Linked DNA regions of Callithrix jacchus. The protein of the gene in region 1 purifies or fractionates together with the protein of each later gene. This does not show direct contact. Links are inferred from orthologs where the notes say so. Each region holds a gene or a part of one and is shown on either strand. Other genes may lie near its edges.

The links.
Region 2: the proteins of CUL4A (region 1) and SNRNP40 purify together in Homo sapiens (affinity purification with western blotting; 3 studies listed by BioGRID, with this or other methods). This does not show direct contact. The link is inferred for Callithrix jacchus from reciprocal best matches to the Homo sapiens genes CUL4A and SNRNP40.
Region 3: the proteins of CUL4A (region 1) and torsin-1A-interacting protein 2 purify together in Homo sapiens (affinity purification with mass spectrometry; 4 studies listed by BioGRID, with this or other methods). This does not show direct contact. The link is inferred for Callithrix jacchus from reciprocal best matches to the Homo sapiens genes CUL4A and TOR1AIP2.
Region 4: the proteins of CUL4A (region 1) and COPS7B purify together in Homo sapiens (affinity purification with mass spectrometry; 8 studies listed by BioGRID and IntAct, counting the BioPlex papers as one, with this or other methods). This does not show direct contact. The link is inferred for Callithrix jacchus from reciprocal best matches to the Homo sapiens genes CUL4A and COPS7B.
Region 5: the proteins of CUL4A (region 1) and WDR5 purify together in Homo sapiens (affinity purification with western blotting; 4 studies listed by BioGRID and IntAct, with this or other methods). This does not show direct contact. The link is inferred for Callithrix jacchus from reciprocal best matches to the Homo sapiens genes CUL4A and WDR5.
Region 6: the proteins of CUL4A (region 1) and DCAF11 purify together in Homo sapiens (affinity purification with mass spectrometry; 13 studies listed by BioGRID and IntAct, counting the BioPlex papers as one, with this or other methods). This does not show direct contact. The link is inferred for Callithrix jacchus from reciprocal best matches to the Homo sapiens genes CUL4A and DCAF11.
Region 7: the proteins of CUL4A (region 1) and COPS7A purify together in Homo sapiens (affinity purification with mass spectrometry; 8 studies listed by BioGRID and IntAct, with this or other methods). This does not show direct contact. The link is inferred for Callithrix jacchus from reciprocal best matches to the Homo sapiens genes CUL4A and COPS7A.

The regions. Positions count from the first base shown.
Region 1 is NC_133502.1:28,674,423-28,678,483, forward strand, and holds part of CUL4A (cullin-4A), read left to right. Parts: intron 1-1,229; coding exon 1,230-1,333; intron 1,334-4,061. UniProt on the Homo sapiens protein: Core component of multiple cullin-RING-based E3 ubiquitin-protein ligase complexes which mediate the ubiquitination of target proteins. As a scaffold protein may contribute to catalysis through positioning of the substrate and the ubiquitin-conjugating enzyme.
Region 2 is NC_133508.1:67,923,520-67,927,580, reverse strand, and holds part of SNRNP40 (U5 small nuclear ribonucleoprotein 40 kDa protein), read left to right. Parts: intron 1-382; coding exon 383-476; intron 477-2,799; coding exon 2,800-2,965; intron 2,966-4,061. UniProt on the Homo sapiens protein: Required for pre-mRNA splicing as component of the activated spliceosome. Component of the U5 small nuclear ribonucleoprotein (snRNP) complex and the U4/U6-U5 tri-snRNP complex, building blocks of the spliceosome.
Region 3 is NC_133519.1:23,492,725-23,497,247, forward strand, and holds the start of torsin-1A-interacting protein 2, read left to right. Parts: upstream 1-1,483; 5' UTR 1,484-1,594; intron 1,595-1,913; 5' UTR 1,914-2,048; intron 2,049-4,523. UniProt on the Homo sapiens protein: Required for endoplasmic reticulum integrity. Regulates the distribution of TOR1A between the endoplasmic reticulum and the nuclear envelope as well as induces TOR1A, TOR1B and TOR3A ATPase activity.
Region 4 is NC_133507.1:153,252,497-153,256,557, forward strand, and holds part of COPS7B (COP9 signalosome complex subunit 7b), read left to right. Parts: intron 1-1,387; coding exon 1,388-1,493; intron 1,494-4,061. UniProt on the Homo sapiens protein: Component of the COP9 signalosome complex (CSN), a complex involved in various cellular and developmental processes.
Region 5 is NC_133502.1:182,706,671-182,710,731, forward strand, and holds part of WDR5 (WD repeat-containing protein 5), read left to right. Parts: intron 1-1,054; 5' UTR 1,055-1,112; coding exon 1,113-1,193; intron 1,194-1,882; coding exon 1,883-1,991; intron 1,992-2,338; coding exon 2,339-2,412; intron 2,413-3,024; coding exon 3,025-3,114; intron 3,115-3,333; coding exon 3,334-3,423; intron 3,424-3,635; coding exon 3,636-3,719; intron 3,720-4,061.
Region 6 is NC_133509.1:58,425,742-58,429,802, forward strand, and holds part of DCAF11 (DDB1- and CUL4-associated factor 11), read left to right. Parts: intron 1-50; coding exon 51-115; intron 116-731; coding exon 732-832; intron 833-1,064; coding exon 1,065-1,211; intron 1,212-1,417; coding exon 1,418-1,472; intron 1,473-1,811; coding exon 1,812-1,880; intron 1,881-2,185; coding exon 2,186-2,243; intron 2,244-2,337; coding exon 2,338-2,523; intron 2,524-3,447; coding exon 3,448-3,601; intron 3,602-4,061. UniProt on the Homo sapiens protein: May function as a substrate receptor for CUL4-DDB1 E3 ubiquitin-protein ligase complex.
Region 7 is NC_133510.1:20,922,465-20,925,731, forward strand, and holds the end of COPS7A (COP9 signalosome complex subunit 7a), read left to right. Parts: intron 1-875; coding exon 876-981; intron 982-1,141; coding exon 1,142-1,293; coding exon of another isoform or gene 1,294-1,297; exon of another isoform or gene 1,298-1,310; intron 1,311-1,455; coding exon 1,456-1,495; 3' UTR 1,496-2,341; downstream 2,342-3,267.

The DNA.
Region 1 (4,061 bases):
CTTTTTTCCTGGGGGACTATTGTATTCAAATCACACTCAGATTATTTATCTAAAGTGTTTTTATTCTGTATATCCCCATGTTTTTTTGAACCCCATATTGGTTCAAAACTTGCTAGTAGAAAAACCACATTTCTGTTTATAGTATTTCATATTTGAATTGAATGAGATTAAGGTTTTGTACATGAGATTTGAAAGGAAATTTTATTAGAACTGGTGAGAATGTGCAAGTACTGTTTCTTTGAGGTGAGTAGAAATATTGTAAGAAAAATTTTTCTGCCTCAAAAAATGGTTTCGGCTGGGCACAGTGGCTCACACCTATAATCAACACTTTGGGAGGTTAAGGAGGGCGGATCACCTGAGGTCAAGAGTTGGAGACCAGGCCAGCCAACAGGGTGAAACCCTATCTCTACTAAAAACACAAAAATTAGTGGGGCGTGGTGGTACATGCCTGTAATCCCAGCTACTCAAGAGGCTGAGGCAGGAGAATTGCTTGAATCTGGGAGGCAGAGGTTGCAGTGAATGGAGATTGTGCCATTGCTCTCCAGCCTGGGTGACAGAGCAAGACTCCATCTCAAAAAAGAAAAAAAATGGTTTCTTCTTGTATTGGGGATATTCACAGAAAAAAAAATGTTTCTTAATTAAGACAAAACTGAAGTGAATTACACATCTATCTAGCCTGCAGAAAAGTAAATAGGAAACAATACAGTCTGGCCCGAGTCATCCAGAACAAAGCTCAGTGTGGACGGAATGACTGCCCTGGGGAGGTGAAGGGAACTGGGGCCCCATCTTGTTATTCTCCTTCCTGGTGAGAAGATGGTCGCTGAGGGAAGAGATATTCTTGGTTCTCTAGCCCTGATTTCACTTTGTAATCATCAAGGTGAACTTAAACACATACATGCTCCGGTGACCCCACCTCAGGCTCAGGAATCAGAGCACCCAGAAACAGGCATGTGAGGATCAAACCTGTTCGGAAGTTTCCATATGCTCAGAAGTGGTGCAGGCCAACTAGCCGCCTGGGGCCTGAGGTGCCATGTGCCACATTAACTGTTGTTACCCCCATGCCAGCTCTGACCAGACTTAGCCATAATAAATAATGTATTTGTAGATTCTGTAAGTACTGGGGCGGGTGGCGTGCCTTTTTGTTATGATTACAGCTATGTAAACAGTCGGGTTTTTTAAAGAACCAATCTGTTCATACTGAGGAATTTATGTGCTCCTTTTGTTTGCAGGCTGTGGAAAATCTTTGTTCGCACAAAGTCTCCCCCATGCTCTACAAGCAGCTGCGTCAGGCCTGTGAAGACCACGTCCAGGCACAGATCCTTCCGTTTAGAGAATATCCTTTTTTTGGTTCATAAAGTTTCTGTTCATTATCTAAGTCTTTTAAAACTGAACATTACGATAAATAACTAATGTGTATCCTTAAGATTATAACAAAAGCTTTAAAGTGCTCTTTTATTTCATGACTCAGTATGGTAAGTTTTTAAGCAAAATTTGCCATTTAAAGTATTTTGTTGATCTGAATTAAAGGGAAACCACGTCTACTTATTGGATATGATTGAAGTATTTAGGAAAAGTTCTGAAAAATGTCTTAAAGTTTGAGTATCCTTTATTCTAATAAATACCATCTGCATTAGCCTTCTGTGACATGTCACAAATTCCCACTACTTGGTGACATGTGGAGACAGCCTCTTATCAGCTCATGGTTGTGTCTCTTAGAAGGCTGGGCAGGACTCAGTGGATTCTGTGCTCAGTCTCATGGGCAGAGTCAAGGTGTCAACCAGGCTGGGGCCTCACCCGAGGTGAGGTCCTTCGCTAGCACGGGCAGGCAGTTGGCAGAAGCCAGTTCCTGTGGCTGTGGGACTGAGGGCCCTGCTTTCCTTCCTGTGTTACGTGTGGTCACGTGCAGCTCCTTGCCTCTATTCTCACAGCACAACTCTTTTGCTTCTAGTCCTGCAGGAGAATCTGCCACTCTGGCCTGCTTAGATAGGGCCTTATATGATGTAAACTGTAACTGAGTCAATGAATGATGACCCTGTGTATCCACAGCCTCATTCACAGTTGCATGCGAGGCATCATCCATGTAGGGACAGGGCAGGGGCATCTCGGGATTCTGCTGCCGCACCAGCTGTGACTCAGTTGTCTACAGAGGGGTCTCTGGGCTCCTTGGCATCCTATAGAAAATCCTTTAATCTGGACTCAGTCTCATTTCCCAGCCTCCTCCCATTACTATAGCTATCCATGTGTTTCATTGGGTAGGAATTAGAAAGTAGAGTTTATAGTTGCAGAAAGTCTACTTGTGATTGGAGTTGTCTAGGCTTCCGTTTCTTTATATGTAAAATTAGGTAGTTGGTATTTGCTTCTAGTTCAAGGAAACTTCTGCTCCCCCATCTCCTTGATCTTGGGAAACTAAACCATCTGAGTTCCTTGGAAGGACCCTTGGGGAAGCTGCAGCAGCTGGTGTTGCTGGGGTTGAAGCACATGGCAGGGAAGCTGAAATGCAAGGTGAGAGGGCTCTGTTTAGGCAGTCTCCACAGCGCTCCCCACAGATGGTGAGTGAAGTCAGCGTCAGTTCTTTTGTGCTGGCTTCTGTAAATACACCTCTGCAGTGTTTTCCAGCAAAGCCTTTTCCTAAAGATCACGAGTTTGTTCAAGAGATCAGTGACCACACACAACCTTCTGGAACCTGGCCAAAGTGCATCTTATCTCAGGAGGCACCTGTGAGGGTGCACAGAAGCAGGCCCCGCCCCAGGGCCACAGCTCAGCAGTGCGCTTCCAGGAACCCATGTTTCGTATGTTTCGATCCAAAAAGTGGCCTGACTCCTAGGCTTGGGGGAAGTCTTTAGCAGATGCCCAAGCCTTCTCCAAAGACTTAGGCATTGGTGAGTCAGTAGGTGATAATTGTTCCTATTCTAGTTGCTGTCTCAATTTACTTGAAAACTGCCATTTGATTACCTGAACAAATTATCCTTCTGCCAGTTACTGCTACCCTGTGGGTTGTCATCAGTTCACTCACTGCACAAGCGCTTGCTTTCTGCCTATGGCACTGGCACCACAAAATGGAAGTGACCACCATGCCTGATATCTACCCTCCAAGAAGTTACAGGCCTCTGGGAGAGGCAGGAGAATTAACTATGTTTTCCTGGTGCAATGGCAAAACCATGATTACAAAAATTATTTATTTCATTAAAGGCAAAAGAAGAAAACACCACCATACCAAATGGCCTTATTAGTCATGAGACATCTTGAGTTGAGAACTGTTGAGTCAGGCCAGCAGTGGTGGCGTGTGAGGCAGCTGGGGCAGAGCCTCCAGGAGAAGACGCCCTTGAAGGGTGGGGAGGGTCCGCCCACCTGTAGATGTGGCACCGATGCAGAGCGTGGAGGGTGCCTTGGAAATCCTCAGCAGCACAACTAGCACTCCAGAGAGCTGGCGGCCCTTTGGCTGTGATGCTGAGGTGCAGATTGGATTAGAATCTTTGTGGATAGTGTCAAGGAGTTGGGCTCCAGTCTCAATATCCCAGCATTCTCACAGGTTTTGAAGCAAGAAACCAGAATTAGATTGTTCATGGAGGTCACTCTGGCAGAATGATAAGATAAGTTTACATAGAGACCAGTACACCACAGCCTTTCATTGGGTAGGCACATGTTTTTAAGTATCGGTCATGTGCTGAGTATAATACCAGGCCCTGGGAAAATAAATTTGAGTAGAATGGGATTCTGGCCCTTTGGAGCTTAGAGCCAAATGGGATGGCAGAAGCATCAAGATAAGCATTGACAAGTGCTGTGATAAGGGTTTTCAAAGGTTCAGAAAAGCTCCTGGGCCCTGAAGAAAGAGTAGCCAGCTCACCTGCGTAAGGGAGTGTTGCAGGGATGGACGACGTCTGAGCCACGTCCTAAAGGGTGGATGAGGAGGTGGCACAGGCCAGTGGCACAATCGCTGGCTCTGAGGAAGCATACTGGGCACAAGAGCCAGGTGCACTGCTGGACGTGGGAGAGTTGACCGCTGACAGGATCCCTAAAGGGGAAAACGAGAGGAAGGCGGATGCCGAATTATGGAGGGCCTT
Region 2 (4,061 bases), on another chromosome or scaffold:
TATAATTTGAGATTTTTTTTTTTTTTTGAGGCAGAGTCTTACTCTGTCACCCAGACTAGAATGCAGTGGCAGTATCTCCAGCTCACTGCAACCTCTGCCTCCCAGGTTCAAGCAATTCTTCTGCCTCAGCCTCCCGAGTAGCTGGGATTACAGGTACCTGCTGCCATGCCTGGCTAATTTTTGTATTTTTAGTAGAGATGGGGTTTCGCTATGTCAGCCTGATCTCAAGCTCCTGACCTCAAGTGGTCCACCCATCTCGGCCTCACAGAGTGCTGGGATTACAGCCATGAGCCACTGCGCTGGGCCTGAGAACTGTTGTTCTGATAAATTCGTAAGTATCCTTTGCCTAGTAATGCTCATAAAACCCCTGTCTCCCTAACAGTGTTATGGAATGTCTATGGTGACTGTGATAATTATGCCACACTGAAGGGACACAGTGGAGCAGTGATGGAACTGCATTACAACACAGATGGCAGGTGAGTATTCTGCATAATGGAATGACAGCTGCTTCTCGTACTAATTCTTCTTGGTGTCCTTTCACCTTTATTCTCAGGAAATCTTGCTATCAAAATCTACTAATTTTGGGTAGCTACTTTTATTATTCGATTCATCACTGTCATCCCAAGTGAGGTGTTTATTGTCTGTGTATGCAAATATAAAGAGATCATATCTGTCATTTCTACAACCCAGACAAACTTGTGTTTTTTTTTTTTAAGACATAAAATGTAATTTTTTTTTTTTTAAGATGGGGTTTCACCGTGATGGCCAGGCTGGTCTTGAACTTCTGACCTCAGGTGATCCACCCACCTCGGCCTCCCAAAATGCTAGGATGCGTGAGCCATCGTGCCCGGCCAAAATGTGATTTTTATATGTAGGCTGGAGTGCAGTGACATGAACGTGACTCACTGCAGCCTCAACCTCCTGGACTCAAGGGATCCTCCCACCTCAGCCTTCTAAATAGCTGGGACTGCAAGCCCACACCTCCATGCCCAGCTAATTTTTAAAAATCATTTGTAGGGACATAGTCTCGCTATATTGCTCCTGAGCTCAAGCAGTCCGCCTGCCTCAGCCTCCGAATAAAGCTGTGATTACAGGCATTAACCACCAAGTGTGGCCTGAAATTATTTTTATTATAAAAATCATTTCTTTTGAGTAACCCAAAAAAGCAGAAAGATGAAAAAATAGTCCATGTTTCTGTTACTCCAAAGATAATCACTGTTAATTTTATACTTTTTTCTAATGCCTTTTTTCTACTCAGAACTGTTTAGTTTTTACATATTTATTAGAACTATGTATACAGTCTTGTTTCTGCCTTTTTCTCTTTAACATTGCTCAGCCAACATCTGATGTCATAAACATTTTAATGACTATATTATTTTAGAATATATTATAGATAGCAAAGAAACCAAGCTATACAAAATTAATTCAGTTGTTAGATATCCTGGTAAACATTCATTGTTTTACTTTTTTTTTTTTTTTTTTTTTTTTGAGATGGGGTTCACTCCTGTTGCCCAGGCTGGAATGCAGTGGCACAATCTCAGCTCACCACAACCTCTGCCTCTCAGGTTCAAGCGATTCTCCTACCTCAGCCTCCCAAGTAGCTGATTACAGGCACACGCCACCATGCCTGGCTAATTTGTATTTTTAGTAGAGATGGGGTTTCTCCATGTTGGTCAGGCTGGTCTCGAAATCCCGACCTCAGGTGATCTGCCTGCCTCGGCCTCCCAAAGTGCTAGGATTACAGGCGCGAGCCACCACGCCCAACTTATTTTACATTTCTGACCTCTAAAACCCAATTGATGGGTGCGCCATCAGTTGGCACATAGCATTGTATACATTTTAAATAAAGAAAGCATTAGAAAGCTCGGCACAGTGGCATTCATTTATAATCCCAGCTATTTGGGAGGCTGAAGCAGGAGGATTCCTGGAGCCCAAGAGTTCAAAACCATTCTGGGCAACACAGTGAGACTCCAGCTCAAAAAAATGAAAAAAGAAAGCATTATAAGGTCAGTTATTACTTAGAAATCATCCTCAGAGGCTGGGTGCAGTTGCTCATGCCTGTAACCCTAGCACTTTGGGAGACTGAGACAGGAAGATTGCTTAATCCCAGAAGTTGAAGACTAGCCTGGACAACATAGTGAGACCTTGCCCCTACAAATGATTTTTTAAAAGTAGCTGGGCATGGTGGCACAGGCCTGTGGTCCTAGCTACTCAAGAGGGACCACAGCCTGAGGTGGGAGGATCACTTGAGCCCAGGAGATCAAGGCTTCAGTGAGCCATGATTCCAGCCTGAGCGACAAAACAAGATCTCATCTGAAAAAAAACTGTAAGAAAGAAATTGTCCTCAGAGACAAAAGAAAAAGTTTGATAAAGAGAAAGGATTGGAGTTACTCAGTTGTCAGGTCCAGAGTTGGCATAGTCTGTCTTAGCTCTGCAGCACCAGGGAGTGATTAAGCATTTCCAAGTGAGAGGGTGTCTTATTTGTAAATCGTTACCGATCACAAAAGAGAAAAAGATAGAACAAAACCTATCACAAAAGAGAAAAGAACAAACTGCTATGTTAGATGTATGTCATGGGGACGCAAAGAAGGGGAAGTTTTAAAACTTCATAGGGGTAGATCTTATGTCTGGGCCTAGAGCACAAATAGGATTTTGGTGGGGTGAGGCATTCCAGCCTCATGGGGCAAACTCGCATAGCACAACAGGTCAGTGATCTTGAAGAGTTTGGCATCTTTTGGCAAGTACAAAAGATAGTTTGTCTTCACTTATTTCTTTTTTGTTTTTCCTCTTACTTTCTAGTATGCTCTTCTCAGCTTCCACAGATAAAACTGTGGCTGTGTGGGATAGCGAAACAGGTGAGAGGGTTAAAAGGCTAAAGGGACATACTTCCTTTGTGAATTCCTGTTATCCAGCCAGGAGAGGCCCTCAACTTGTCTGCACTGGCAGTGACGATGGCACAGTTAAGGTGGGTATTGTCTGTCTGTGTTGCAGTTTCTGAGGTGACGTAATGTGAACCTTATTTTGCCTCTCCACTTGTACTCTACCTTCCTCTGCACACTTAATTTTAGCAGTCATTTCCAATAACAGACACTTGAAATTTTTCCCCCATTTAAAATAAAACATTTAATATGTGTTTTAATTACCCTACAGAACAATAATAGGACCATAGAATAAATTGTTACTTGGAATAAAGTGGACCATGTAGATTTGATTCTTGGCTCAGCTGTCAATTGTGTGAGGTTGGGCAGTTCCTTTTCTGAGCCTGTTTTTTAATCTTTAGAACAGGGACAGTAACATGCACATCTTTCAAGGCTGTTATGAGTATCTCTACCAACAGGGAGGCAGCAAAACAAAAAAACAAAAAAACGGCTGTTTTGAGATTACAGACAATATATAAAAAGTTGAGTAAATGGTTTTAGTATAGCACAAGATGGGAACTTAAACATCATTTAATCACATCGTTTCCAGCCTATCTTTATATCATCATATGAAGAACCTGTTAAAAATACCCAAAGAATTTGGTTCAGTGGATCCGAAAAGGGAATCAGGACTTATTTCATGTGTCCTTCAAGTGATTCATTGTAGCCAGTCTGACATTCTGGGAGCCACTGATCTCATTGAGCATCCTCATTTTACAAATAAGGAAACTGAGGCCTAGAAATAACTCAGGCACACACAGACACAGTGCATCATAGTACCACATTGGATTCTTTCTTTCACATGAATTTTGGACTCCGGTTTATATTTTAATTATTAAACAGGGAGGGACTTCAAAAGAATACATCTGGGAAACACCCCATACTTACTGCTTTTTAAATGAATATGCTTTTTTTTTTTTTTTTTCTTTAAGACAGGGTCTCACTCTGTCACCCAGGCTGGAGTGCAGTGGCGCAGTCTTGGCTCACTGCAGCCTGCCTCCTGGGTGCAAGTGATTCCCCAGCATTAGCCTGTTGAGTAGCTGGGATTACAGGTTCCCATCACCACACCCGGATACTTTTTATATGTTTAGTAGAGACAGGGTTTCACCATGTTGGCCACACTGATCTCGAACTCCTGACCTC
Region 3 (4,523 bases), on another chromosome or scaffold:
CTACCATGCCCAGCTAATTTTTTTTTTGTATTTTTAGTAGAGATGGGGTTTTTTTTTTGCGGGGGGGGAGGAAGGCAGGAAGGAAGGGAAGAAGGACGGTAGGGAGGAAGGAAGGGATGAAGGAAGGAAGGAAGGGAGGAAGCGGGGAGGGAGGGAGGGAGGGAAGGGAAGGGAGATGGGGTTTCACCATGTTGACCAGGATGGTCTCGATCTCTTGACCTCGTGATCCACCCACCTCGGCCTCCCAAAGTGCTGGGATTACAGGCTTGAGCCACCATGACCGGCAAGAGAAAGCATCTATCCATTGTGACTTAGTAGAAATGAAGTAGGCAACATTGTTATTTTTAATAAGGAAAAGATGATTAAAATATTAAATAGTAAGTTAATTAAAGACATAGTAGCTGGCTCCATTTATTCCTCATTCTTACAAGTGATTGAAAAAATATTTTAATAATACAAATGAAAATATCTACCTGGAAATGTGACACTGAAATTAAACACAATGAAGTGAATGGAATATAGTATTCTACTTTGTTGAATTAGAAATTGCAGTTAATTATTAAACAGCATCCAAGAGTGTTACCAAATCCTGTCACTTCTGCCAAAAGAGGATGATTGGAAAATGAAGGCATCAAAAGTCATATTACATGAGGAATTATTAATTCAATAAATACTTGAGGTACTATGTAGTAGGCAGTCCCTGTTCTCTGTGCTGGGGATACAGCTGTGTGCAAAATAGACTGAAAGAAAAAAAACGTTTTCTGTCTTCTTAGAGATTATATTCTATGGGAGGAGTCAAGCAAAAATCAAAATAAGTAAAATAGTGTGTTGGTCAGGACTGTTACAGAAAAAAAATGAGGAAAGGGGAAAGGAGTTTTACATGAGTAGATTTCTTCTGTGTTGTCTTGAATTGGCGTGGGTCAGGAATAGGAGTTTTAGACTTACTCGATTTTGCTCCCAACCAATTGTATGTTCTTGGGTAAGTTGCTCACCATCTCTTTATTTTCACATTTATAAAATTAATAGATCATAGCAATAGCTATTTTTTGTTACTGCTGTCATTTAGTAGACACGCTGCATACATCATCTAATTTACTCATAACAATCTTATGAAGTAAACAACGTCCCCATTTGACACACGAGCAAACAGATTAGATTAGGCAACTCTTTTTGAGGACATTCTCCTCTATTCGGTACTGGTTCTCACTGTGTTGGTCCTGAGTTAGGTCATATGGGTCAGGGTGGTCAGACGTCTTGCAGAGTTTCCTGCAATCCTGTCAGATAGCTTGAGAACTCGGGGATCTTTGAAGGTTGGTTGCACACATTTACCGTGCCTATCGCTGGGTAAGACGACCTGGCAGTAGAGGGCGAAGGATGGAGGAGAAGGCGGCAGAAGGCAGGGCACAGAGACTACTACTCCCAGAATTCCACGGGCTCCTTCCCGCGGAAAGTGTCGGTCATATGGGCGGGGACGCTGGACGACATTCGGGCCGCGGCGGCCGCTGGGTGCAGCCGGGCGGTGTGGAGTGGAAAGAGCACTCGAACGGCTCCCCTGATACTAACAGTTCTACGATTTAAAACCCCGCCAGAATTTGTAAGTAAACAAAATGACTGTACAACTTTTCTATGTTTTAGTATTGGAACTGATATACTGAATTTTTCAAAAGAGCTTTCAGAAACGGTCCCTCCCCACCCCCACCTCCCTACTGCCCAAACGATATTTTTATTTTTATTGTTTTTGAGACCGGTACTTGCCCTGTCACCCAGGCTAGAATACGGTGTCGCGATCATAGCTCACTGCAGCCCCGTTCTCCTGGGCTCAAGCGATCCTCCCGCCTCAGCCTCCCGAATAGCTGGGACTACAGGCCCGCAACACCATGCCCCGCTAATTACTTTATTTTTTATTTTTGTAGAGACAAGATCTCACTATATTGCCCAGGCTGGTCTCGAATGCCTGGCTTCAAGTGATTCTCCCGCCTCGGCCTCCCAAAGTGGTGAGATTACAGGCTTGAGCCACCACACCTGGCCTCACTTGAACAGTAAACGAGGTAGGTTGGGGTTATATTTTCGTTTCGGGATAAAAAGAAACAGAATCTTATAAATATTAAACGGGTTAAGATGTGAGTAAATTTTTAGCTTTAAACTTTAAGGTGAGAAGCAGAATTATTGTAGGGTTCGAAATGTAAGTGGGAAATTTTCCTACTAGTGTAGGCGGCGATTACTCCATGCCCGGCAGGCCTAGGATCTCAGCATTCATCAACTTAATCCTGAAAAGATAGTAATTAAAAAAAACATGGTGCTAAAAAGGACAAACTTGTAGTTTTATTAAGACCTCCTACCATTTTGCTTATATATTATGTATGTACCATACTCTCAGTTGTATTTCATACCGGATAAAAAAGTTTGCACCTTTTCCTTCTTTTAACAAAGTTCTTAGTACTCTCTACTTCATGAGTAATGCGTGATTATCAGACTTGATACTGTTACACAGATCCAGAAATGAAGTTACACAGATTAAACATATTGGTTTTGTTTTACCTGTCTTTAGTTTTTAAAACATTTTATTTTGGATCTGTTTGAAAGATCCTTTCTTTGTTTTAAGCTGTGGCAGCTATCCATGTTTTTTGAGTTTTATTTTTTCAGCACAAGATGAGTATAAAGGGGCCAGTGGAAACATTTAATAAAAAAAAAAAAAAGAACTCGAAGTAGAGTAACTATAGATGTTCTTGGAAGCCTTTGTGTGGATTAGAACAGTTTGAAAAACCAACATTTGCTGTGAGAACTGAGTGCCTCTCTTCAGTAATGTTTATTATGCTGAACGTGCAGTCCACAACTTGATTACCTGTTTTTCTGCAGGTTTATTACGTAACCTTGGGTGACTCATTTAAGCACTATTTTATCTAGTTTCTTTCTAATGTAGAGGTAATGTTAGCTTGAGAACTTCAATAATTAACAAAGAATTTAACTTCAGAATTTAGCCAATTATTTGAGGATTATTGGGTATTTTAATAATGCGTTGTATCTTGTATATAACTTATTTTTGCCTAAGAAGTCATTTCTGTATTCCATTCATTTCCATGAACTCAGAAGTCAAAACTGTATTCCAGGAAAATCCACACTTCTTTGAAGTGCTACTTGAATTTCCTGAAGGAAAGTTTGCTTCAAGAAGCCTTGTCTACTTTCTCACTTTGAGGTTGTTCACTAAGCCAACTATGAAGGCACATTAACCTGGAGGTTCTACAACCTCCAAAAAAAAATGGAAAGAATGAAGAATTGGCTGTTTTTATTTACCATTTAGAATTTTAATTGTGTTAAAGTTTCATTAATATTTCTGCATCATATGAACCACTGGATTAAACTGTGTCCCACAAGAAGGAATTTAGTAGGTGATCATACATTATCATAAATTTTGCACAGAAATCAAGCATTTGGGAATAAGAAAGGGCATCCCTAACATCAATAATGAGCATAGACTTTAGAGTCATAGCTGGATTTGAATTCCTGTTTTGTCACTGTGTGGGCTGTTTTCCTCTTTACTAATATTTAAAGGAGTTGGCACATGATTTTTTTGTGTGTGTGCCATGGCTCAGGTATGATCTGTGCACATAATTTTGGTAATTGAAATTTCTGGGAAGAAAATTTATCTGTAATTCTACTACCTCAACAAATCATATTGTTTTGGTTTTTAGAGATTTTTCCTTCAGCCCTTGACCATGAGTATATATCATGTAAATAAATGTAATGACATTTTTGCAAAAAGTCAAATTTTAAAACATTGGTTTCTTCTGGGGTTTTGTTTTAATTACACAAATGAAGCTGCCTGGTTTTGCCTTTAATAGTTCAAATAAGCCAGGTGTTATGTATGGCTCATTCCTGTAATCCCAGCACTTTGGGAGGCTGAGGTTGGTGGATCACTTGAGGTCAGAATTTGAGATCAGCCTGGCCAACATGGTGAAACTCCATCTCTACTAAAAATACAAAAAAGTTAGTTGGGTGTGGTGGTGGGGGCCTGTACTCCCAGCTTCTCGGCAGGCTTGAGGCACAAGAATCATTTGAACCTGGGAGGTGGAGGTTGCAGTGAGCTAAGATAGCACCATTGCACTCCAGTCTGTGCAACAGAGGGAGACCTTCTCAAAAACAAAAGAAAAAACAAAGAAAACCAAGGGCAGAGAAGGGGAGAGAGAGAAAAAAAAAACAACACCAAGTCAGAAGCTGGAGCAGTCATTTAGGCCTAGGCAGTCTGACCTTCGAGGACAGTTCTATGCGGGGTTCTATGTTGGTAGATTTACTTTATGGATGTTAGGTCCTATTTATAGGCAGGACTTGATCCTGGAGGCTTACTTATAAGTTCTTTGTAGAAAAGTAACATTATTTACAGTTTTTGTCTGTTTGTTTTTTGAGACAGGATCTCTCTCTTACCCAGGCTGGAGTGCAGTGGCACAATCACAGCTCACTGTAGCCTTGACCTCCCAGTCTCAAGTGATCCTCCCACCTCAGCCTTCCAAGTAGCTGGGACTACAGGC
Region 4 (4,061 bases), on another chromosome or scaffold:
GGTTAGGGAGAGATATGGGATCTCTGCTCATCCCTGAGAGAAGTATATCCAGAGAGGAGCAGCACCACTTTGACTTCCTGGGGTCTGATGGCCCCAAGTCTCCCTCATTTAAGCTACTCTACCTCAGGACAAGTGTTGCTCACCCCTCACCCCAAGTTCTGTCCCAGGTGTGGCCCCAAACACCACCTCGGTACAACATCTGACACAGGTGGAAGTTTTCAGTAGGTTCCGAAACTGGGAATAAAGGAGAAATAAGCTTAGAAATACCCCATCACAAAATGGTCTAGCACACAAAATCTGGTTTCTGAACCTGCCAACGTTGGCTGTCCTGTTCTGTTTTTGAAATGACTGACACAGTTTTTCATGTCCATAGTTTGCTTTCCAGTTTCTAAGTCACCAATATGTTTGACATAGAGGTGCCACACTAACGGGTTACCGCAGTATGTTTACTGGTAGAGATGCTTACAACTCATGTTGAGGCACTGGTGGTAGATGGAAACAAAATTGATTTGCTGAGGGGTACCACACATATGGCAAAATGTTCACAGCTGTTGGATCTTAAGTGGAGGTATGGGGATATTCATTGTATTCTTTCAACTTTTTTGTTTTTAAAAAAGTTAATAGTGAGGAAAATAAAATAGGAGGAAGGGTATGGCAATTAGGAAATAACTTAAACTTCTGAGAAAAGGAGGAATCTTCAAAATAGGATACTTTTAGAAAATCTTTTTTTTTCTGTTGAGAAAAGGATTACTCAATGCCATCTGTAAAATCTATCCTACCTTCTTTTTTCATTTTTATTTTTTTTGGAGACAGAGTCACCTAAGCTGGAGTGCAGTGGTGTGGTCTCGGCTCACTGCAACCTTCACTTCCTAGGTTCAAGATACTCTCCCGCCTTAGCCTTTCAAGTAGCTGGGACTATAGGTGTGTGCCGTCACACCCAGCTAATTTTTGTATTTTTAGTAGAAACGGGGTTTCACTGTGTTGGCTAGGCTGGTCTCGAACTCCTGACCTTGTTATCCACCCTCCTTTCCCCCTCCCCCGCAAAGTGCTAGGGTTGCAGACGTGAGCCACCACAGCCAGCCTATCCTACTTTCTTTAATCTTAGGTGCTACAAAACCATCTTCCATGAAATACAGAGTTGAAAATTAAAGCTGTATTCTAAGAAACTAGCCCTAGACTACCATATTTGTCTCCTTATGTCCTGCAGTAGGTATTTAGAAGTGCTTGTCTTTTGGAAGGAAGGAATGGGCAAGAGATGTTGGTAGAAGGATTATTAAAGGAGATCCCTGTAAGACTCTGGGGAGAGCTGTTGGGGAGGAAGATGTCAGAGGCTGGAAGAGACTTCCCAGGCCTTTCTGCAGCTCAGGGCTGGTTTTCTCTATTGTAGGTGTGACGGCTGTGAAGCAGTTCTGCTGGGCATCGAGCAGCAAGTTCTGAGAGCCAACCAGTACAAAGAGAACCACAACCGAACTCAGCAGCAGGTAGAAGCAGAGGTAAGGAAGGAAAGGAACGTTTGTTCCTCTCTCCAGGGCATGCCTGTTGATTCCTTTGCAGTGTTTATGTTTTTGTTTTGCGAATCTTGGTGTAAATGAAATAAGCAGTCACCAAGAAATGGGCCTGGGCTAGGTGCTGGGGTATAGGGATGAGTGTGACACAGCTCCTGCTCTTGGTGTTCTGTCTCTTCTGATTCCTGGTCAGCATAGGGTGATTGATCAGGCTTGGAGAACAGAGAATGTTGTAGTTTCATTACACATGTACTTTGCAGCTGTAGAGCAAAAGAAAATGAGTTTAGGGATGGATCTTAAAAATGGGTAAGATGGTGATAAGTTACCAGGTGGCATGGAGGGAGGGGTACAGCTGGTCAGGGCCATGTGGGGCTTCAAGGCCCTGGGAATGTTCTGCTGCTTAAGTTGCATGGTGGGCACATAGTGTTCATTTTATTCTTTTTATCTAAACTATACATATAATAAACTTGTGAAATGCATGACATGTTTCATACGGAAAGAAGAAAGGGATAAAATTTGACAGATGAGCTACAAGTGAAGTTAAAAGGATGTAAAATGAAGTTTTATTGACACCTGGTTGTTGAGGAAACTTTTAGTCTCTTGGACAGATGTAGGCCCCAGCCTTTGTGTTATGAGCATTTGTGTACTTGTAGTCTGATACATGACGTGACCTCACTTCAGAATTTATCTGGAGCCCTTAACATCAGAAGCACTGATCTTCCTTAGCATTGGAAGTTCTTTTCTATGGTGGATGGGATTTGAAGTGTTAATGATACTTAATGAATTTTGAAAATCAGGTGTCTAAGATTGTGGCAGAGTAGGGCCCAGAATTCTAGCTAAGAAGCATAAGAAATGCTTATGGAGGCCGGGCGAGGTGGCTCAAGCCTGTAATCCCAGCACTTTGGGAGGCCGAGGCGGGTGGATCACGAGGTCAACAGATCGAGACCATCCTGGTCAACATGGTGAAACCCCGTCTCTACTAAAAATTACAAAAAGTTAGCTGGGCACGGTGGCGCGTGCCTGTAATCCCAGCTACTCAGGAGGCTGAGGCAGGAGAATTGCCTGAACCCAGGGGGCGGAGGTTGCGGTGAGCCGAGATTGCGCCATTGCACTCCAGCCTGGGTAACAAGAGCGAAACTCCGTCTCAAAAAAAAAAAAAAAAGAAATGAGTAGATGGTGCCTTTCAAAGGGGGGATTTGTGAAATTTGGAGTGATTCCCTATACTATTATATGTACTCCTTGAAAATAAAACCTGTTTCCTATTTGTAAGATAAGCTTCTTATCCCATGCCTAACCCATAGTAGATACTCAAATGTTGAACTGAATATTTCTGGCACATCATAGAAGTGTGTGAGTGGTCTGCTGAACTCTGCTTTTCATGAACTTGAGCTAATTTTTTTGAATACACTCACACTGCCCTATATACATATACTCTGTGGATGTTCAATTCATAGACCATTTCCAGTCCTCCTTCTAGCCATGGAAGTATGAGCTGGGTACAGTGGCTCACACCTGTAATCCTAACACTTTCGAGAGCTGAGGAGGAAGGGGTTCGAGACGAGCCTGGGCAAGGAAGTACGCACTATAATTAACACTAGCCAAAAGCAAAGACAGTTAGGAAAATAAGCCTGCTGCTTTTCTAATAAGCTGTGCAACCACCTTCATGATAGTGGCCTCATCTCTAGCTTGGGATTGAGGTCTGAACAAAGTAGGAAGGGCTCACCACTCTCTCCTTTCATTAATTCTTCCCGATAAATTAAACTCTGGACAAAATGAGGTTGGGAGGCTAACCGCACCACCTGATCTTTGGCATTGAGGTCATTAACAAAGATGAATGATACTAGTTTTAGAATTTTGAACTATTCAAGTTTATTTACATGATAAATAGCATCAGACAAAAGAAAGCCAGGTGTCCACAGAGCTGTTGTAGACACCTGACTAAAGTCTGAGTTACACTGCGTAGTTACACAACAGTGTAGACTTTTTAAATTTTGGTTATTTAAACAGAGAGGGCGAGTGTGTGCACTAGCACACAGGGTTTTATTAAATTTGCCAGTGGTTGGAAGACACTAGCAGAGCCCGATGCTGCCAGCAGGTGGCAATAAGGATTTACATTTGAGAAAGAAATCTGAGGAAAAGGCCAAGGCCGCCTCCACCACCAATGTATTGATGTAATAGTCTTCTAGAAAATCTGGAACAGACCAATATGGTCTGTTCCCTGAGCATGGCCAAAGCTTAGAGCCTTGTCAGTTTTTCCATTCAGTAAATGCATGCTCTGGCTGCTAAGTGTTGGAGGCTGCTTGCCCCCTGCTTGAGGCACACAGAAGGTACTCACCAAATAGCTACTGGCTTGAAAGAAAAAGAAATCTACAACCAACCAAGGTGATTCTGTCATATTCTTTTTGTATTTATGAGTCTTTTACCATTGGCCTAACTTTTAAAAGCTATTTTGTCAACTGATTGGTGAGCTTTTCTTTATTTGTCCTTAAATTAGATTGCTTGTTTTCAGAGAGAAAAACATGATGTCCCCCTCCTGAATCTTATAAAAACAGCTTT
Region 5 (4,061 bases), about 150 Mb from region 1:
GAAACAGTCTTTTTTCATTCCCTTGCATGTTGGTCTTGCTCGTAGAATATCCCTGGTGTACTTGAGGCTGCTTTTCCAGAAGGCAGGTTGTGGGAATTCCAGCAGGCAGAGCTGGCTCTGGCTCGCTCTGCTCTCTTTGCTGAGTTTTGTAGCTCCTCACTGGGGGCGAGGCCTGTGAGCTGTTAGCATTCTGGAAGGCAGCTTGGTGCCTGCAGCCTGTGCATGGAGGCACCGGAGCCCACCCTTGAGGCGCAGACCGCTGGGTGCCTTCAAGCTTGGCTGTGAATGTGATTGCATCAGTGGGTGCATTTTAGGATTTGGCTGTGCTCCCAAACTTCTGCACCCTGAAGCCATCTTCTGTCATTTGGCATGTTAGCTTACTGTCAGGAAACCTTTTGCTGTTCTTTTTATAATATGTACAGGGCTTTATTTTATTTTTTTTTTTTGAGACAGTTCACTCTTATTGCCCAGGCTGGAGTGCAATGGCGCGATCTCAGCCCACCGCACCTCCACCTCCCGGTTCAAGTAATTCTCCTATCTCAGCCTCCTGGGATTACAGGCACGTGCCACCACATCTGGCTAATTTTTTTTTTTTGTATTTTTACTAGAGTCGGGGTTTCACCTTATTGGCCAGGCTGGTCTCAAGCTCCTGACCTTGTGATTCTCCTGCCTCAGCCTCCCAAAGTGCTGGGATTATAGGCATGAACCATCACGCCCAGCCGTGTCCAGGGCTCTTTGAAGAAAATTGCATTTTGTTTGCACAAACTGCTGCATTCCTACAGACTTCTGGACAACAAAATAGGAAGCACCCTTAAGGGTGGGGTCTTTGATGATTACAAAAGTGACGAGAGCAGGTGTCTCAGCAGAGCAGCTAGAAAGTATTAGCAAGGACTTTGGGTAATTAATAGGGTTCTCAATTTGGAATGGTTTGTTTGCTACAGGGCTCAATTGGTAGTCAAATGTTTTCCTTTAAATCCTTTTTCCTGAAAATCCATTTTTAAAAATATGGTTTGTTTCTTGGCCTTGGCCCCCTGTTCTGCATCTTGCTCGGCAGACTGCCTCTGTCACTGGGACTCTCCATCCACATCCCCTGTGTGACCAGCGTCAGAGCCATGGCAACGGAGGAGAAGAAGCCTGAGACTGAGGCCGCCAGAGCACAGCCGACCCCTTCGTCTTCTGCCACTCAGAGCAAGGTGCATGCCCAGGAGCCATGTGGGTGTTTTGGGGGGCAAATAACGCTTAGAGATTCTTGGAAACCTTTCACGCTCCTAAGTCTAGCCTTCCCTACTCAGTTAAAGGTCACTGCTAGTTTCTATTTCCTGACCACATACCTGACAAATGCTTGTGACCTGCTGTTTCAGGGATCCCAAATCTGTCACCTGGAGGAGGGAGGCCTTATCAAAAATACATACTTGGTCCTGATTGTAAGAGTCTCTGTAAGACCCAGAAAACATCTCTTCATAATTTCCCCCACCCCGGCTTTGATCTGATGCGCAGGCAGAGCTGCATACCCTCTTGTAGACCTTTAGCCAAGGGAGCAGGGCCTCTGTTTCAGGGCAGGTGGGGGTGGGGTGCACTGGACCAAGGTCGGGGCTGGAGGGGCCTCCTGTGCTGTAGCAGGATCAGAGGTGGGTTTGAGGTGGGGTCCTGCCTTGAGGGGACCTCAGACGTTTCTGGCTTGGCTGGTGCTGTTGGAGGTCTTAGGGGGAAATAGTGGGCTCAGATTTAGATCTGTTCCATTTGAAAAGTGACGCCACAAAGAAATTGATGGAAGGCACTGGTCATGTGGTTTCGGAGCTATAAAGATCTGAGCTGAATCCAAACTGGTCACGAGTGGAATGCACAGTGGTGGTGACTTTGTGCTAACTGATCTTTCCCGCAGCCTACACCCGTGAAGCCAAACTATGCTCTCAAGTTTACACTTGCTGGCCATACCAAAGCGGTGTCCTCAGTGAAATTCAGCCCGAATGGAGAGTGGCTGGCGAGTTCATGTACGTAGCACTGAGGCCCTTAGCTGCTGGAAGAGGCGGTCTGAGCTGCAGACCAGAAACCATCGAGGGGGTGGCTTGCTTCCTCACCTCCTGCTCCAGGCTGCAGCGGGTGATGTGTCTCCTCCTGGAACTGTGACCTCAGTGCTGGTTGAAATTGCCTGTGGGCCTGGGGAGGGAGGAGAAGGGGGCTGGTCATCTCCGGCACGTGGGTGCGCTGAATGGGTTCTGAGCCGTGGGGTTCATGCTGATCACCAGGGGATCATGTGGGAAAAGCCCAGGCTTTGGACTATGGATGACAGGACAACTGTGGCCTGCTCCTAGCCTCAGATCCTTTTGTTTTCTTTCAGCTGCTGACAAACTCATTAAAATTTGGGGCGCATATGATGGGAAATTTGAGAAAACCATATCTGGTCACAAGCTGGTAAGTTTCAGCCCTGTGCGATGAAGTTGACTATTGAACAGTAGCTCCAGTGAGCAAGTGGTCAGGGCCATTTTGAGAACGGTGGGTTCAGGTTTAAATTTTCCCCCCTTTTTTCCTCTCTTTTTTTTTTGAGATGGAGTCTTGCTCTGTTGCCAGGCTGGAGTGTAGTGGCGGCATGATCTCAGCTCACTGCAGTCTCTACCTTCTGCGTTCAAGCGATTCTCCTGCTTCAGCCTCCTGAGTGGCTGGGACTACAGGCGTGCACCACCACACCCAGCCAATTTTTGTATTTTTAGTTGAGACAGGGTTTCACCATGTTGGCCAGGATGGTCTCGATCTCTTGACCTCATGATCCACCCTCCTCAGCCTCCCAAATATTCTGTTTAACGCCAGATACACTTGACTTCCCCAGATGAGTGTCTGTGAGGCTGGCAGAGCTGCAGAAAGCCTGCTGTTTTCCTCCCCTGCAGTGTGTCTTGTAAGGTTAACGCTAGTAAGAGGATTTCCTGCGGGCAATGGGGATGTTTGGGATTTTGCCCACAGGTCCTATTCTGTCCTTTTATTGTCCAAGTTGCTCTGTCCAAGTTACTGACCCTGTTTTTTCTCCCCAAGGGAATATCCGATGTAGCCTGGTCGTCAGATTCTAACCTTCTTGTTTCCGCCTCAGATGACAAAACCCTGAAGATATGGGACGTGAGCTCGGTAAGCAACACTCAGTGCTCCTCTCTAGGGAAGACTGGCTGCAGGGGCACGGGGCATCGGGGCAGGGTGGGTGGGCAGAGACTGAGTGGACTTGGGGATCAGCCAATCACTGGTGGGTGGGCGGGCATGCTCTGAGCTGTCAGGCATTGATGACTGTGATCTGGTGCTGTTGTTTCCAGAAAGATCCACTGGAATAATCCCAGTAATACTCTGTTTTAGGGAAAGTGTCTAAAAACCCTGAAGGGACACAGTAATTATGTCTTTTGCTGTAACTTCAATCCCCAGTCCAACCTTATTGTCTCAGGATCCGTAAGTGTGGCCTGGTGTCTTCCCTGGGGGCTGTTGTGACCGATGTGGGAGGGCTGTTGAATTTGGTTGTAGCAACCGTGGAGAAGGCAGGTAGGCCCTGCGTCTCTTCTGTGCTGCTTGTGGGGAGGAGGGGCTGGGAGGTCTTGGGTTCCGGGGAGGTTTGTCCCCTCTCTTCCCTGTAAAAGTCACTCGAATCTCTTCCTTTTGTTCAGTTTGATGAAAGTGTGAGGATATGGGATGTGAAAACAGGGAAGTGCCTCAAGACTTTGCCTGCTCACTCGGATCCAGTCTCGGCTGTAAGTTGCTCTGACACAGATGGGGTGGTGTTGGCAGTGCGTCCCCCTGATACAGATGTGGCCAGCTGTCTCCCTGGTGGACATAAGCCTGGGTGTGGCCTGTGCCTAACTGATTCCTGCTGTTATGCCGAAGTCTAAAGCAATCAGGCTGGAGGCTGGGACCTGAGAGATGAGTCCTGTGTGCAGCGGAGGGGTGGCGAGGGGGTGGTGAGGTGTCAGTGGAGTGCCCTGTGGTGAGTACCATGGGGCCCTTCGAGCAGGCTGTGGGGGTGGTGGCCACAAGCATTCAGGGGGCAGTGTACCTTGAACGGATGCATGGGACAAGAAGGGTACAGGCAGGGA
Region 6 (4,061 bases), on another chromosome or scaffold:
AAGTGGCCCTCTGTTTCTGCTAGCAATATTCCCTAATCCCTTCCATTTAGAGAGAACGGGGCCTCTGCCACCGGGGAAGCTTCTCCCTTGGAGAACAGTCTCGAGTGATATCTCAGTGAGTATGGGGCTTGGTGAAGAGACTCTAAGGGCCAGATAAGTCTTATCTCCTAAAGTTTGAAGGGGTTGGTGTTAAAAGAGCCTTGAAGATATTAAAGTTTAGGTTAAATGGGGTTGAAACTTTGAGAGTAAACAAACTGGAAAAGTATAGAAATGTAAAGGATGCCGGGCGCGGTGGCTCACGCCTATAATCCCAGCACTTTGGGAGGCCGAGGTGGGTGGATCACGAGGTCAAGAGATCGAGACCATCCTGGTCAGCAAGGTGAAACCCCGTCTCTACTAAAAATACAAAAATTAGCTTGGCATGGTGGTGCATGCCTGTAGTCCCAGCTACTTGGGAGGCTGAGGCAGGAGAATTGCCTGAACCCAGGAGGCGGAGGTTGCGGTGAGCCGAGATCACGCCATTGCACTCCAGCCTGGGTAACGAGCGAAACTCCGTCTCAGAAAAAAAAAGAAATTTAAAGGATGGTGGAATGGTTGAAAGACAGGGGATTGCACTCACAACCAAAAGAGAATGATTTTGTACTGATATTCTAGCTCTGTTAGGATTCTGCAAATTGGGATACTCCTTATCCTGAGCACCCCTTATCCTTACTTTCTCTCTCCTTCCCTAGCTTCTTGCCCAATGATCTGGGCTTCACTGATAGCTACTCTCAGAAGGCTTTCTGTGGCATCTACAGCAAAGATGGTCAAATATTCATGTCTGCTTGCCAAGGTACCAGACCCTCGTCCTGTCAACTGTCTTTTCCTGGAACATGGAATGTACCCTCTGACTGAGGCTAGAAAGCCACAGACAGGGAGCTCAGACCTGGCTTAGGGATGCATACCCAGAGCATGTTTCCCATTATTAAGCGAAGATTCCATAGGTATACTGAGTGGCAGACCTCTAATCTAGGAAAGTTATAAGGAAAGTGTTCCACAATTCTGCCTGATCTCTACTTTTACAGACCAGACAATCCGACTGTATGACTGCCAGTATGGCCGTTTCCATAAATTCAAGAGCATCAAGGCCCGCGATGTAGGCTGGAGCATCTTGGATGTGGCCTTTACCCCTGATGGGAACCACTTCCTCTATTCCAGCTGGTCTGATTACAGTGAGTATGTACCAGGCCTCCACTGTCTCTCCACCCTGGGACCTGAGGTGCTCATCCCCTCTGAACCAGGATTCCTCACTTTATACAGGGAAGATCACTCCCAAAGTGCTCCAACATCCTTGTCCTTTGTTTGATCTCTTCCCTAGCTTCACATCCACTCTCCTTCCCCCATGCCTGAAAGATTCTTGTTTTTCTTGCTCTTTTAGTTCATATCTGCAATATCTATGGTGAGGGAGATACACACACTGCGCTGGATCTCAGGTACTGGCTTCCCTTTCTGGTCAGACTCATCAGAAACTTCTCAAGGGAAGATCTTCAGGAGCAAACCTTTGAGTTGGAAGTTCTGCTTAGGGGGAAATGTATGCTGGTGGGTCTGTGTGGATTCCTGGGAGGGAAGCAGCATCCTGTCAGCCAGAGGATTGGGTAAATGGTTGGTTGCAGGATTATTTCTGGGTTCTCACTGAGGATCTGCATGGTGGTGCATGTTAACCGGACTTCTTTTTTCCCCTGGGTATATGTCTTACAACCATTGTCAGATTCTATGTAGATTAGCAAAAGCTGAAGGGATGTCCACTTAATCCAGTTACTTCTTGCTTTCAGGCCAGATGAGCGTCGCTTTGCTGTCTTCTCCATTGCTGTCTCCTCAGATGGACGAGAAGTACTAGGAGGGTGAGTGTTTGTGGGATATGTTTCCCTTAATTAACAAGATGGGGGTTTCCCCAGAGATGAGCTCTGCTGTACACAGATGGCACCGGCAGCTGCAGAGAAGAACCAGATTTTCTCCAAGGTCAGGATTTACAAGTTGGTTCACCTCTTGCTCTCCATTTCCCCTGCACAAGAGCCTCCTTAAAAACACAGCTAACTCTTCCCCCATGACCCAGAGCAGGATTTCTCAGTGGGACTCTCTAGAGTACATACCACATTGATCCTCAAGATTGTTGCTCCAGAACCCTCCTTTATTGCTTCCCTTTCAGGGCCAATGATGGCTGCCTGTATGTCTTTGACCGAGAGCAGAACCAGCGCACCCTTCAGGTATGGCTCCTGAGACAGAGCCTCTGCTTCCTGGTCTTTCGCTTATTATAAGACCTAGAAAGAGATCTTATATTCTGGCCTCCTTTTCACCTAGATTGAGTCCCATGAGGATGATGTGAATGCAGTGGCCTTTGCTGATATAAGCTCACAAATCCTGTTCTCTGGGGGTGATGATGCCATCTGCAAAGTGTGGGATCGACGCACCATGCGAGAGGATGACCCCAAGCCTGTGGGTGCACTCGCTGGACACCAGGATGGCATCACCTTCATTGACAGCAAGGTGGGCCAGGAAACAGGACTGCACAGCCAGGCTACTAAGGTTCTGGTTGCTCAGGAGGGCATGAAAATGGACTGGTGTGGGAATTTGACAGTTGCTTATTTTTTTTTTTTGAGACGGAGTTTCGCTCTTGTTACCCAGGCTGGAGTGTAATGGCACGATCTCGGCTCACTGCAACCTCCGCCTCCTGGGTTCAGGCAATTCTCCTGCCTCGGCCTCCTGAGTAGCTGGGATTACAGGCACCCGCCACCATGCCCAGCTAATTTTTTTGTATTTTTAGTAGAGACGGGGTTTCACCTTGTTGACCAGGATGGTCTCAATTTCTTGACCTCGTGATCTACCTGCCTTGGCCTCCCAAAGTGCTGGGATTACAGGCTTGAACCACCGTGCCTGGCGACAGTTCCTTATTAGCCAAGGTTTATAAGGGTTGGAGTTCAGGGAAGGGGCTCAATCTAGGGAACATGAATTCCATCTGGACTCACCAGTCCTCAAGGAGTAGGGTGGGGCTTTCTGTACAATAAAAATGGAAGACCAGCCAGGTAGGTGGCTCATACCGGTAATCCTATCACTTTGGGAGGCAAAGGTGGGAAGATCGCTTGAGCTCAAGAGTTTGAGAACAGCCTGGGAAACCTAATGAGCCTTTGTCTCTATTTTTTTTTTTATTAAATATTTTTTAAAAAGGAAAATGGAAGACAGTCTGATCCAGGATAGAATAGGAAAGCCAGCCAGTAACCTGGACACGGAAAGGAAAACCCAGCCAGGTGGTAAGATCTGAGGCAGAACAATGAAAATGAGTTCACCTGGATAAAGAAAGAGGCAAGCAAAGCCAAAGGCTGGAGTTCTGCTCAACTAGAGAATGAGAACTAGACTGACAGGCGCTGACATTTGTAAGCTCTGATGCTTCACTATCCACATTTGGATTCATAGGGTGATGCCCGGTATCTCATCTCCAACTCCAAAGACCAGACCATCAAGCTCTGGGATATCCGACGCTTTTCCACGCGGGAAGGCATGGAAGCCTCACGCCAGGCTGCCACACAGCAAAACTGGGACTATCGCTGGCAGCAAGTGCCCAAAAAAGGTGAGACTGGAAGTACAGGCACAGTGGGTTTGTCTGTAGCCTGGGAACCCTGGAGCCCTCCCTGTCAGCCCTCTTTGCCAGGCATTAACGCTTTATTTGCTAAATCATGGATGGGATGGCCAGAGGTTCCTAGGATTGGGGCCTGGGTGGGGGTCACTCAGAATCAACCAATACAAAAGTATTTTTTTGTTGTTGTTGTTAATCAATGAGAGCTTTGTTGTGTTGCTCAGGTTGGCCTTGAACTCATGGCCTCGCCTCCTCAAGTGCCAGGACAACTGGCCGGAGCCACTGTGGCCCCCAATACAAAAGTATTTGAGTATGATTAGCGAGCAGGGCCATATTGGAGACTGTCCACTGACGATTAGGTGGAGAAAGAGCCACCACTTGGGCTGGGCGTGGTGGCTCACGCCTGTAATCCAAGCACTTTGGAGGCCAAGGTGGGCGGATCACTTCAGGTCAG
Region 7 (3,267 bases), on another chromosome or scaffold:
AGGGCAAGAGCTGGGCTGGTCTGCAGAGGTAGAACTGAGGGGGATGAAGGAAAATGAGTTCAAAGGCTTCTGGGGAATGCAGGAGTAGGGAGGTCCTGGGAGGCGGCAGAAGTCAGTGTCCTTGATATAGTAATTCAGGGATGGAAAGGGAGTGAGTGGTACACTTGAGGGGATCCTAACCACTAAGGTTGTTGCCTTAGGCTAGATTCCAGCAGTTGGTCTACAATTACCATTGTCCACAGGCCATGGGCCTTTTCCTCCTCTCTTTTATTTTGTGTCTATCTAACTTCAGGGTTTCTGTATTCATTAAGTCACCTCTTTTTCTCTTTAACATCTCCTACCCTATTTGTTTTCAGTTCCTACCACCATCTTGCACATCACTCCAGGCACTTCCTTATCCCTCTCTGACCATACTGAGGGTCCATCTCACTGCTAGGATCATTGTCACAGATGGTTTCTAGGTGCCCTGGTGAGGGTTCCCAACTCAGACTCAAAATGCCAGAAGCTGTGTTCTGGCTCCGTTGCCCAGGTTGGAGTGCAGCAGCATGATCTTGACTCACTGCAGCCTCCACCTCCTGGACTCAAGCCATCCTTCCACCTCAGCCTCTTGAGTAGCTTGGGACTACAGGCTTGTGCCACTGCATCTGGCTAGTTTTTGTATTTTTTTTGTAGAGATGGAGTTTTGCCATATTGCTCAGGCTGGTCTTGAACTCCTGAGTTTAAGCAGTCTGCCCGTCTCGGCCTTCCAAAATGCTGGGATTACGGGGGTGAGCCACTGCGCCCTGCATCTAGGGTTCTTTTTGAATCTGTTTTCTGTGAGTCTATGATCGTAGATCTTGTCTGCTGAAACTTTTCTTCTCCCCTGACTCCCGCAGGTGTGTGGGCTGTGAGGTTGTGCTGTCAGGCATTGAGGAGCAGGTGAGCCGTGCCAACCAGCACAAGGAGCAGCAGCTGGGCCTGAAGCAGCAGATTGAGAGTGAGGTGAGCAGTCAGGGAGCAGGTGGACCCAGGCTCCTCCAGCCTGGGCCACTTCTCCTTTGCAGAGAGGATTTGGACAGTGGTTGTAGCAGACAACAAAATAAGCAGGGTCTGGAAGTTTCTGGAACCTTCCTTGCTATCCCCATTCCTTTCATCCTGGTAGGTTGCCAACCTTAAAAAAACCATTAAAGTTACAACAGCAGCAGCAGCCGCAGCCACATCTCAGGACCCTGAGCAACATCTGACTGAGCTGAGGGAACCAGCTCCTGGCACCAACCAGCGCCAGCCCAGCAAGAAAGCCTCAAAGGGCAAGGGGTGAGCCAGGGTAGCAGGTACTGCTCACTTCTGGAGTGCCCTGCTTTTACCCCAGGGACCTGACTGTCTTCACTTCCTTCAGTTATTTGCATGGGAGTAGGGAGTCGGGGGAGCCTTCAGAGGGGATTCCCTGCATTCTCTCTCTCTTTCTCTTCTTGCCAGGCTCCGAGGGAGCGCCAAGATTTGGTCCAAGTCGAATTGAAGGGACTGTCGTTTCCTCCCTGGGGATGTGGGGTCCCAGCTGCCTGTCTGCCTCTTAGGAGTCCTCAGAGAGCCTTCCTGTGCCCCTGGCCAGCTGATAATCCTAGGTTCATGACCCATCACCTCCCCAACCCCAAACATAGATCACACCTTCTTCTAGGGAGGAGGCAAGTGCAGGTCATGTTTTTGTTGGTACTTTTTGTTTTTGTGACCTCCTGTGTTCCGTTGCTTCCTGCTGCCATGCTCTCTCCCCTATTTCTCCGACATTTCCTTAAGAGCTCAACATCTGTCCCTGTTCATGACATGTCATCGAGTAGGTGGGTAACCTTGATGGGGTTTGCTCTGTCTCAAGCATAACCCACAGGCGTTTTTTTTCTCCCACCCCATCCCTGCATGCCTGATCGCAAATTCCTACACCTTACCCACCACCCCTGCATTGAGCAGCCTCTGAAGAGCCATAGGGCCCCCACCTTTACTCGCATTCTGAGAATTCTGGGGCCCAGTGTGGCATTCCCAGAGTCACTGGACACGTTCATCCGAAAATCCTGTCACGCTACAGTCATTTATTTTTCTCTCTCTGCCCTTTGGGTCCTGGGAATGCTGCGGCTTCAGAACCCAGAGCCTAAGAATGGCAGCTATTTCTTAACATGTTGAGAGATGGTTCCTTCTTGGCCCTGGCCATCTCGGGAAGCTTGATGGCAGTCCTGGAAGGGTTTAATCTCCTTTTGTGAGTTTGGTGGGGAAGGGAAGGGTATATAGATTGTATTTAAAAAAAAAAAAGGTATATATGCATATATCTATATATAACATGACACAGAAATAAATCTATGAAAAGTCTATCTACAAACTACCCTGAACTGGGTATCTTCTGTCTTTGATATTTGCGGATGGGAAGAAGACTCATTCCCAGTTTACTCTAAAGCACAGTGCTGGAAGATGAAGAGAACTGGATACTATTTGCTGCGTCTCTGCCTGAGGCCTAGATCCTGGGCTGTATGACTTCGGACACGTTGCTTCATATCTCAGCATCCATAGTCAGAAGTAATGACTATGGCCAGGCACAGTGGCTCACGCCTGTAATCCCAACACTTTTGGAGGCCAAGACGGGTAGATCACTTGAGGTCAGGAGTTTGAGATCAGCTTGGCCAACATGGTGAAACCCCGTCTCTACTAAAAATACAAAAAAATTTGCTGGGCATAGTAGTGCATACCTGTAATCCCAGCTACTAGGGAGGCTGAGGCAGGAGAATCACTTGAACCTGGAGGTGGAGGTTGCAGTGAGCTGAGATCATGCACTCCAGCCTGAGTGACAGAGTGAGACTCCATCTCAAAAAAAAAAAAAAAAACAGTAGTAATGGATACTTTCTGGGCATAAATACCTGACAGGCACTGGACGTGGAAACGATGGCCACTGTTTCTGCTCTCCAGGAGCTTGAACCTATATCCTTCTACCTCATAGAATTAGAAGGGAAAGAGTTGATAATGAACTTGAATTTTCACATCAGAACCACACAGAAGAACTGTCAGATCTGTGGCAAGCAGAAGCCATTGGACTCCTGCCCTCTGTCCACTAGAGCTCTCCGGGAATTGTGCAGGGAGGATTGGGATCCTTGGCCTAAAGTGTTGCTATGGACTCCCTGGAATTGGAAAGCCCTGGTGTGAAGGACAGTTGAGCCTTCGTTTGCATGTGAAGTGGTTGCCTTCTGAGGGTCCTGGGGTTGACAGCTGCTCCCCAGAGCTTGTGATGTTTTTTAGGTAGAGATTTAGGACAGA